Linked DNA regions of Danio rerio. The protein of the gene in region 1 interacts with the protein of each later gene in a pairwise test. Links are inferred from orthologs where the notes say so. Each region holds a gene or a part of one and is shown in the gene's direction. Other genes may lie near its edges.

The links. The genes of interacting proteins can lie anywhere in the genome.
Region 2: the proteins of agtrap (region 1) and senp2 interact in binary tests that used the Homo sapiens proteins (3 or more experiments, as listed by UniProt). The two-hybrid records come from large-scale screens. The link is inferred for Danio rerio from reciprocal best matches to the Homo sapiens genes AGTRAP and SENP2.

Annotation. Positions count from the first base shown.
Region 1 is NC_133186.1:18,167,048-18,172,948, forward strand, and holds the start of agtrap (type-1 angiotensin II receptor-associated protein), read left to right. Parts: upstream 1-2,211; 5' UTR 2,212-2,344; coding exon 2,345-2,371; intron 2,372-2,870; coding exon 2,871-2,905; intron 2,906-5,564; coding exon 5,565-5,676; intron 5,677-5,901. UniProt on the Homo sapiens protein: Appears to be a negative regulator of type-1 angiotensin II receptor-mediated signaling by regulating receptor internalization as well as mechanism of receptor desensitization such as phosphorylation.
Region 2 is NC_133181.1:12,362,877-12,368,038, forward strand, and holds part of senp2 (sentrin-specific protease 2), read left to right. Parts: intron 1-80; coding exon 81-159; intron 160-2,499; coding exon 2,500-2,584; intron 2,585-4,070; coding exon 4,071-4,227; intron 4,228-4,308; coding exon 4,309-4,415; intron 4,416-4,498; coding exon 4,499-4,587; intron 4,588-4,701; coding exon 4,702-4,759; intron 4,760-4,845; coding exon 4,846-4,924; intron 4,925-5,162. UniProt on the Homo sapiens protein: Protease that catalyzes two essential functions in the SUMO pathway.

The DNA of each region.
Region 1 (5,901 bases):
ACAAAAACGTGGCGTCTCTCTGCGATTCTGTAAGTGAATTCAATGTTAGTGAAATAAAAAGAAATGGTTCGATGTAAAAGTGCAGATTAAGAGGAGAACAGTGGCGCACCATCAAAGTGTGGACCAAACAGGCGGGGGAACAGGAAATGCTGAACTAACACCCTTTGAGGAGAGAATTGCCTCAATTGTGGGAAACACTTTACTGTCTGGAGTAGTTTCCATGTTTGTGGGAGACAAAGATGTATATTAGGGGAACACCTCAGCTCTTATCAGGCAACGTCACCGGCATTTCAGTTGCCCAATTGCCTGCTCTACAACTGAACGAGTGCCTGCCATCTTGTAGCCTCATCCCAATCATGCTGTTTGTGGGAATGAATTAATCATGGGTTGACCTAGGCCACCTTGCTACAATATTTGTTGAGCGCATTTGAGCATCACATATTATTTGCACATTTATTGAATGAAAAAGTTTCCGATTCACGAATGCAAATTCGTCTTCAGATGGCTCCTTTATAGCAATGTGCATGCAGTCGATCGCTCTGATTACATTGGAAAAAACGGCGATCACTGCAAATTGCGCTTTATTGTTTGGCTGGTCAACTGCATGGTATGGAAACCTGCTAGACATGTGGGTGATCCCGTCCTATATAGCTGGCATTGCACGGCTCAAAGATACTTTGTAGTGTGCGAATTAACATGATTGCCCCTAGGAGTCGCCAGTTAAAATAAAACAAACACACACAAGAAATACACATACGCCCAACATGAAGTGAGAGTGGACCAACGCACATTCTCACGTTAATTTCATTGTTAGTAAATCCAAACGTGAGTGTGAAATCTGGCGTACGGAAAGTTTTTGTGCGTACGCCGCGTTGATACATGAGGCCCCAGGTGTGAATGGTAAATTGTTTGGCGAAAACACAGCTTAATACCAGGTGTCAACAGGGCCTAAGATCCCTCTGGCAAATTAGTTATTGAATGTTATCGTGGGCGAAGCAGTGGCGCAGTAGGTAGTGTTGCCGCCTCATAGCAAGAAGGTCGCTGGGTCGCTGGTTCGAGCCTCGGCTCAGTTGCCGTTTCTGTGTGGAGTTTGCATGTTCTCCCTGCGTTCGCGTGGGTTTCCTCCGGGTGCTCTGGTTTCCCCCACAGTCCAAAAACATGCGGTACAGGCGAATTGGGTAGGCTAAATTGTCCGTAGTGTGTGTGTGAATGTGTGTGTGGATGTTTCCCAGGGATGGGTTGCGGCTGAAAGGGCATCCGCTGTGTAAAAACTTGCTGGATAAGTTGGCGGTTCATTCCGCTGTGGCGACCCAGATCAATAAAGGGACTAAACCTACAAGAAAATGAATGAATTTTATCGTGGATTAATTTTGACACATGAAACAATTTCATCAAACATTGTTTGATGCTGAAAATCAATTACCTTGTTGAAAAACAACTTGTGGTCCATAAATGCTTTTGTAAACACAATAAAATTTTCTGGAATGGAAATTGACAAAATAAATATTCATGTATGTCCCTGCTTCGGGCCCCACTACTTTATTACTGTATTTTGTTAATATTCTGTCAATGAATAAAAATTGTCAATATTATGCTAAAAAGATGCACACACAGCTAGAGTATAACTGACTGATGTAGCTGAAGAATCCTTCTGTAGCAGAAAACAGATAAAAGGAAGAAAACAGTGGAAGTGAAAGAATAGCTATAATAAGGTAATGTGTGAAGATTAATTAAAACTAAAATAGGTTAATTGCAATCTCATATTAGCTGGCAAGTTCATACCATAGCAAGAAACTTGTTTTCTTAAACATCCAAAGGTAGCTGTGCAGTCTTAATATATTCAAATACAAAAGATCTCTTAGCTGGTTTTAAGTTTTTTATTTGTCTTCTGAGTAAAAAAACTTTCCTGGAAATATCTTTCTGTGATAAACAAATCATAAATTTGATATCTATAATAAAAACAATTGTACTGTTACCATTTTAAAATTACTTAACACTAGCCGACCTATGGGGTTTTTATAATTTTATTCCAGTATCATTAGGCCTAAAAAATGTAAATTTATCGCTTAGCTGTATGTTGTTGTAGGAAAAAAAATCTAATGTTAAAATAACACTCTGTTTCAGGTTTTCTAGTTGTGCTTATATGCTCTGAAGGAGTAATGAGCAGAGGTGGGAGGTGTAGTCACATGACACTTGTCAGGCTGAAGTCACATGGTTTGTGTTTGCAGTCACTTCAGAACAGCACAAATTTCTACACACAGTTATGATGAAAGTGTTTCATGCTTCCTTAGTGAAATACTGAAAACTACATAGGACCATTTAATTCTGAACAGGCAGTGAAAATATGGAGATACCAGCCATAAATCTGAAGGTAATTTATTTTCAATCATTTGTGCATTACAGTGAGTACATTGATATTATTCATTATCAAATAATTATTTGATTGGTAAAGTATCCATTAAAAGTTTAAAGATAAAAAGTTTTGTCATTGTGGTGTCATTGTGGTTTTGTCATTTAAAAATGAGTCTACATTTTATGAAACCAAATGGGAGGCTTCAAAGATCACTTTCTTAAAGAATTTATCAGTAACTGCTATTGTTATAACTGCAAGCAAGCTTTTACATTAAGTTGATTGTTGTTATTGTGAGGGTGCAGCGAGGAAACAATAACATTCTGAATGGAAACACAAGGAAATCCTTGCTCTTTCTTTTGATTTAAAGCAGAATTTGTTCAAAGCATGCTGACCATAACACATTTTCTGTTTTATAAATACCCCACATTATAAGTGCAGCAACACACTGTCTCTAGAAAATAATATACTATATGTGTGCATTTACTCATGAACTGCACTATATGTGTTCTCTCTGCAGGCCATTTTGTTGGTTCACTGGATACTGACAGTTTGGTGAGAGTTATGGCACATTTTTGCTGTTTTTCATCACTAACCTGAGGAATTTCACCTTCGGTGAATGTTTATCTTCCAGTTTTCTATTCATCAGAAATATTTCTTCTTCAAATTGAAGCTTTCTAAATATCTGTTAAACACCTAAACATACAGTTGTTTTTCTTAAGTAGTAGTACATTGAAAAAGTGACTAAAGTGCACATATTTTCAAATATCCCCCATTTGCATATTTTAAATATAGTGGAAGCTTTACACTTTCAGTTAAAGGTCAAAGTATTTCATTAATACTGTGTGCATTTTTCGAGGAGGCAAATCAATCAAATTAATTCAGCTGTTCAAAAAATAGTTAATATTTAATATTTTCTTCTTTAAACTGAATTACTTCTAAATACATTTTTACATATCAGTTTAAATTACTGAAGAAATATTTAGTTCCATAGCCATTGTTTAAATGAGTACGCCCCTCACAGATCTCTCTTTGAAATTAATATAATCCGTAGGATGCTATACAGTTATATATTTGAGCATATACAGTAGATTGGATTAGCTAAAACTGAAACTAATCTAACAAAATTAAATAAAAATGACAGATAACAGTCCATAAATATGTACAGGCCAATTTATTATGTTGGGAAAAATATTGCACACAATTCTAATAAACAGGAAAAATTTAAAACATTAAAAAGAGAGAATTTAGTTAGAATTTGGGTTTTTTATTTTAATGTTTGAATTTAGTTGTATTAGCTTTCTATTACTAAAGAAATTAGGTGGCCAATCTCTTATTTTAATGGATATAGATTTTAGGGATTTATGGATATAAATATATTGGCTATATAGGGTATTTGCACACAGACTTTTAATTTTCAGCCAGGCAGCCCAAGGGCTTCCAGTAAAACTGTTTTTTCATTACAAAATTGTAACATTTAAGATCTGATTTCTTTAAAAATCAGCAATCTTCACTGCCTGTTAGATATAACAGAAGAAGAATTGCATTAAATTACATTTCCTCCCGCCATTTCTTTAAAATATGACAGTTTATTTTTACCCAGTATTTTCAATTAAGTGTCTGCGTAGCCTGTTGCTACTGACAGTCCTAGTGGTTACAACGGTCTTTCATCTTGTTTTACACCTAAACAACTAAATGAATGCTAAAGTCTGTGAATGTTATCGACTTTCGCTTTCAGATTTAAAGGGCTAGCATTGCACCAGACCCCCGTAAGTGGTGTGGTTTGAAAGTGTAGAATCTAGATTTTATCAACATATGCATCACTTTGGTTTTCATTCTACTGTATAAAAGTTATTTACACTTAAATTCACAGTATTTTGGATACCCCAGCTAGGTATTTTACATTGTTCATTTTCATATTTTTTTTTATATGACACATGTCACAAGTTATAGCTCAATTGAAATCTCTTGCCGGTGCTCATTCAGTTCTAGCATTCTTTTTACTGAATTATATTCATATTCCAAACAGTTGTTGAATGAATTGTGGTGTTTCCATGGCGCAGAAATGTAAACAATACATTTATGATCAATAAGCAGCCCCAGATAGCACAGACAGCTGTCATCTCTTACCTTATGCTGTGCCCTTCAGGGCCATTCTCCTCTGTTTTTGAGGTGATGTGCATAAGTAATCCTTTTATATGTCTGATGTGGTCCAAACTCAGTGAATTATATTTGATCAAACAAAAGAATAGTGAAATATGAAAACAATGATCGGTCCCTGTGGCTTGTACAGCACCTCTCATTAGTTGGAATGCAATAACTTTTGCATAGATTATGGTAGAGACTTTTTTCTTTTTTTAGACATGTGCAGGAACCACTAAAATTAATTACAGCACGCTAGACCACACAGAACCTAAAAGGTACACTTTCAAATTAGATTTAAAAAAAAAAAAACATAAAGCGCCTCTTTTTTTTAGGTGTTTATTATAACACAGACAACATATACAGTTATTTTAAACACTTTCAATAGTGTTTTATGAAAATTCAAAGGGTTTTCTTTAAAATTATACCAAATTTTTGCATTTACACCTCTTTATGTGGATTTGAAAAGCTTTTAAATTTGGGTAGGCAAAATCCAGGCGGAAATCCCCAAATAGCAGCAGAGTTTAAGTGGTTAACTGAATGTATTGTAATTACATTACAACATCAGTGCTGTAAAATCAACCTTGTAAAATTGAAAATAGCCACCTTGAACTTTCACCGGACGTTTATTGTCGGCTTAAACTCTCTAGCTGTGCATAGAGCCCATTGACTGGGAAATTGATAAAAATAATCATTATCAAAAGAGTCAGCCAACTTCAGGCACACAGAAACAGTTCGGTTTTGTTTTTATTTTAGCCATTATACAGTATATTAAACAAACTACATCCCGCAGTTCCTATAAATTTTGGGTTTTGTTTTAGAAACTGCATTCTTAATGTCACCTCAATTGGTCTGAGGTCAGGTAATTTTGCATAGTTGTGCATTTCTGGAACTTTAATCTTGACAACAGGAAAATGTATAAATAAGTTTGTTTGTTTTAAACAGAAGCCATTTATTGGTGTACTTTTTAAACACAATATTTTTTTACAAAAAAATAAACCAAATTGAGTTAAAGGAGAGTGCTATGTTAGTACAATGTTTTTTTTAACAGTTTGAATATGTGCTTACACAGGGCATGCTTACTTTCCTGGCTCCCAGCTTCTTATGTGTTGGGGAACTTCAGTGTTCTTGCAGTGGGAGTGTGGGCCATAGCACAGAGAGACTCCATAGATGCTGTTTTATTGGTAGGTGGGTTTTTTCATGCATGAAGGCTTTTTAGGCAATTGATTTGTTCTTTATTAACGACCGATGAAAAATCCATAACTAGACTTTTGACTATTCACTCACCGGCCACTTTATTAGGTACACCTTTCCAACTTCATGTTAGCACAAATTTCTAATCAGCCAATCACATGGCAGCAACTCAATGCATTTAGGCATGTAGACATGGTCAAGACGATTTCCTGCAG
Region 2 (5,162 bases), on another chromosome or scaffold:
CCTCACTCGAATGCCATCTTTGCACACCCTTGGTTTTATTCACTGTTCACATGGTCTTGTTTCTTGTTTTGCTTGCTCAGGTTGGCAGGGTTACATTTATGGGTATTGATGACATATACAGCAACAGCCTGAGTTCATGGATTGAAAGTGACGGCATGGGTAAATGTGAACTCATTTTACTTTTTTTTTTTTTTTTTTTGTGAGTGTGTAAGTGTGAGTGATCTGGCTAAGAATTTGACAGACACAAACTACTGTTCAAAAGTTCAGGATCAGTCCTATTTTCATTTCTTTCAGTGAGTCATACAGAAAGCCTTTGCATCTTCCATAGTAATACTAAGCAGTATTGCTGTTTTTTTTTATATATATATATATATAAAGATTTAAAATAAGAAATGTTCAGATCAGCATATTAGAAAGGCCTCTTGGGGATCATTTAAAAGTTCAGCTTTGCCTTTACAGGAGTTCCAGTTTAAATAGAAAGTAATTTTAAGTTGCAAATTATGGAAGCATACGAGTAGCATAATTCAATTAAAAATGTAATATGCAAAATGGCAATGCAATATGTTAAATGGCAATGTATTTCTGTATTTGAATTTGCATTTTCCAAGACATATGAGCAATGTTTGGTGCAGAATGAAAATGTAAATTAAATTACATTGTTTGCATTTCTCATTTCAAACACTGTTTTAATATGTAAATTGTATCCACATTTTAAAGCTTTATAAGTAGCAAAATTAAATTGAAAATGCTATACACAAACTTAATTTGATGTGAATAAAGTACAAGCAGAAACTGTAGCAAAATGATAATTTAAATGTTATTTGTCCTAAATGCATTTACGCTCGCGTCTAGGAAACGCAGGATTACATTTTCAGCATAACAGCATGGGATGTGTGTAGCAAAATTAATTTTGAAATGTAATACGCAAAACGATAATGCAGTATGTAAAAGGCAGTGTATTTCTGCATTTCAATTAGCATTTTCCAAGACATATGTGCAATGTTTGCTGCAGAATGAAAATGAAAATGAAAAAAAACATAATGCATTTTCATTTAACACATCGCGACGAATGAAAGCCAATTTGAAATTGAAAATGCATTCTGGCCTGGCCACGCCCACAGACGGCCACCGTTGCTGCAAGGCGGGTTTTAGGTTATGTCGTCACAGCTGCCGCGAGGACTATTAGGGACATTTGGCAGCATAAACATGGCGAAGTCTGTTCCTCAGCAGCTTCGTGAAGCTGCACGAGCCCTCGAGCTTGAACTGGGAAATAGTTTAGAAAACCAATCACCTCCTAGCTCAGTAAACTTGGCTTAAGGTTTGATATTCGCGCACGCAGTTTTAGGGATCATCTGCAAATTACATCGACAGAACCTAAAGGGGCTTTAGCTGATGTGTACTGTATGCTTATGACAAGAGCTATTGCCTATTTCTGCATTGTATGTACCATATAGTTAGAGGTATAGTAGCTTTGCTACCTGTATTAAATCAGTCTGGCCTCTAACCATTTATTGGAATCTCCTCAATTTTTTTCTGCTTTGCGTTACTGTGCGTTTTGGTTCTGTTGATGTAAATCGCAGATGATCCCTAAAACTGCGTGCGCAAATATCAAACCTAAGGCCAACTTTACGGAGCTAGGAGGTGATTGCTTTTCTAAAGTATTTCACAGTTCACGCTCGAGGGCTCGTGCAGCTTCACGAAGCCGCTGAGGAACAGACTTCGCCATGTTTATGCTGCCAAATGTCCTTAATAGTCCTCGCGGCAGCTGTGACGACATAACCTAAAACCCGCCTTGCAGCAACGGTGGCCGTCTTTGGGCGTGGCCAGGCCAGAATGCATTTTCAATTTCAAATTGGCTTTCATTCGTCGCGATGTGTTAAATGAAAATGCATTATGTTTTTTTATTTTTCATTTTCATTCTGCAGCAAACATTGCACATATGTCTTGGAAAATGCTAACTGAAATACAGAAATACACTGCCTTTTACATATTGCATTATCGTTTTGCATTTTACATTTCAAAATTAATTTTGCTACACACATCCCATGCTGTTATGCTGAAAATGTAATCCTGCGTTTCCTAGACGCGAGCGTAAATGTATTTAGGACAAATAACATTTAAATTATCATTTTGCTACAGTTTCTGCTTGTACTTTATTCACATCCAATTAAGTTTGTGTATAGCATTTTCAATTTAATTTTGCTACTTATAAAGCTTTAAAATGTGGATACAATTGACATATTAAAACAGTGTTTGAAATGAGAAATGCAAACAATGTAATTTAATTTACATTTTCATTCTGCACCAAACATTGCTCATATGTCTTGGAAAATGCAAATTCAAATACAGAAATACATTGCCATTTAACATATTGCATTGCCATTTTGCATATTACATTTTGAATTGAATTATGCTACTCATATGCTTCCATAGCAAATGGTGTGCTTTCGACGTTTCCTTTAAAGTCTAAAAAATGATTTTTAATGGATCTCTCTACAGATAAACAAATGGAAATGGGACTTAAAAATAAAGAAAGAACAGCAGCCAATATGCAAACCAATCCACAGGCTTTACGCAAACCTGAGTGAGTATTATTTGGTCCAAATTTTAAGGTGTTTCACAAATTTAAGCGGTTTCTTTGTCCTCTCAATATGTATTTTTATAATAATGCATTCTTTTATTCACCATATTGCTGATTACATGATAAAAAGGAACCTTTCAAAAAGGTCACAATTTCCCACCCCCCAAAATCCTCACAGGTATTTGCACTAGGTTTAAAAGCACAAGTGGGCAATGCTATATATGTAAATGTGGTTAAAAGAAGCTAGGCAGACAGGGTTTTTTTTTGTTTGAAATAAGTTTATTTGATGGAAAAAAATGTCAGAAAACGCAGTTTTTTTTAACTGTCCTGACATAAACCCAGAGCATTTGATGGAGTTCAGAACTGAAATGAAAGCTCTTGATCTCTATTATTTTTCCATTGCCTTCTTTCATGTTCATATGGAAATTGCACAAGCTTACTTTGCAGCATTAGATCAGTAAAAAATGCATCCAGTCCATTCTGTCAAAAGACTATCTTCTCAAAGACAGAGTAAAGTGGATGTATAAGACTTAAACAATAGGTGTAAATTGGATTTTTTTTACCCTTGTCTCCACATCTTAATGCCAAGTTTAAACATGAGCAATATTCCCATGTTCTTTGTTGTACAGAAATATAGTTATTTGTTTTTTTGTTTTTTTTTTATGCAACAAATTTAAGATTACTTTTCACAAATTACTAACTGTATCATCTTTGCTTGATTAACTAGGCTGTGTTTACACAACAGGGATGTGGCCAAATTTGAAAAGGTTCACGTTTAGACAATACATTTTCAAAATGTTGTGAAAATTGTGAAAATAGCCGAAATAGGTGCATTATGTATGTCAGATGATGTAAATGTAGAATTTTCTGTGAGTGTAAGATACGTCTCGGGTGTTATTTGTAATGTGAAATAAATCCAACATTTGCTGATAAAGAATTAGCAAACAATTAAGCAACAACAACACTAATATGTACTCCGCCATTGTGTTTATTTGCGCTTGCCTTCACATCTGCACGCACATGATGCCATCATTCTCCAAAACTCTTGTTTATTTAGACACACTATCAGCGATTCTTTTCAAAAACTTCCACTTTGAAAACTGCTGTCAGATTATGCAGTTGCAAAAACAGTTGTTGTGTAAATAAACAGGCAGAAAACCGTTTCTAATGTGGCAAACTTTGTGCAACACACAAGAAGATATTTAGAACAGTTGCAATTTCCATTGACTTTCATTCATTTATATATATTTTTAAACTAAAACTGATTGCTTGCCATAATTGTTTTTAAACATTTAATGACATAACATCTTTCAATTGTGAGCAGTCCATCCTATTAAAATGATGATGAATCTTACCCATCATATGCAAACAGTAGTATCAAAATAAGACTTGAGAATAGGTGCTTATGCTTTGCGATCGAGAATGATGTTTGACTCTAAAATGGTCTTCTAGATATTCTGTAAGTCTCTGCATGTTTCTCCTTGTACAGTGGAACAATGCTGTACAAAACAAATCAGGACAGAAGCAGAGAGATGCGCAGATCCTTGAAGCTTGTGCCGTCATGCACCACCAATGGGCTAAATTCAAGACAGGCTGAGATGGAGCTCCCAAGCCGCACACCCAAACCTTGCCTGACCGTGGAGGAGGTTAGCAAACTGAGTTGTAATGTTGTAACTTAGTACCTTTTTTTAAATACATGGCTTCCTGAGCATCTTTCTTTTGATTAGGCATTGAGAGAGAGTGATCGAGAGCATTATAGGAAGCTAGTGGAGATGGCATCTGAAAAATATTCAAAGAGCAAACCATTGCCGTTTGGACGGATAAAGCCTTCCATGTAAGCACATAAATTATATATGTTTTTAAATCACCACAGCTTAGCTGGTGCAAGTTAACACTGTTTTCAATCAAATCTTTTAGCACCGCTTTCCCCATTGATGGACACAAGGTCAGTGGACACACCTCCATCTGTCGCACTACTGACTTGAACAGACCTGCGCCAGTAAGAGGTGAGAGTTTATTTAAATTAATCTTCACTGTTATTAGAACTTCACATTTTTTCATAAGTGTTTGATGAAGAGTTCCATTATACTTACATTTTCTGTTTGCCTAATTGCCTTAAGTCATCCCTAACATTTCTATGTGGCGGGATCCACTATCCCTGACGCAGATTAAAGACAGGTAATACTTCAACATGCCACATAATCCTTATATGCGTTTGCTGAATGCAGAAAGATTCATTTCTGTTTATTTTTCAACTGTGACAGAACAGTGGATGGTCATCGAAGCACAACAGGAAGTGATGTCAAGGAAGGAGCCTTGGATAATCAAACTACACGAAAAACCGTAAGTGCTTGCTTCATGTGCTGTAAAGTGTCATGTGAAATCAAAATGTACAATGTTTATTTTGCTAGCTCACGTTTGTTACTCTTAAAGTGAACAATTAATCTGTGCAAGTTAATCTACTGAAAAAAAGTTAGTTTTATTAAATCAATCAAAGTTTGACCATTTGCTCTTACCTTTGGAGTGGTGATCCTTCTGTTGAGGTCAGTAGGAGGGTTTCCATAGCAACTGTATATTAATA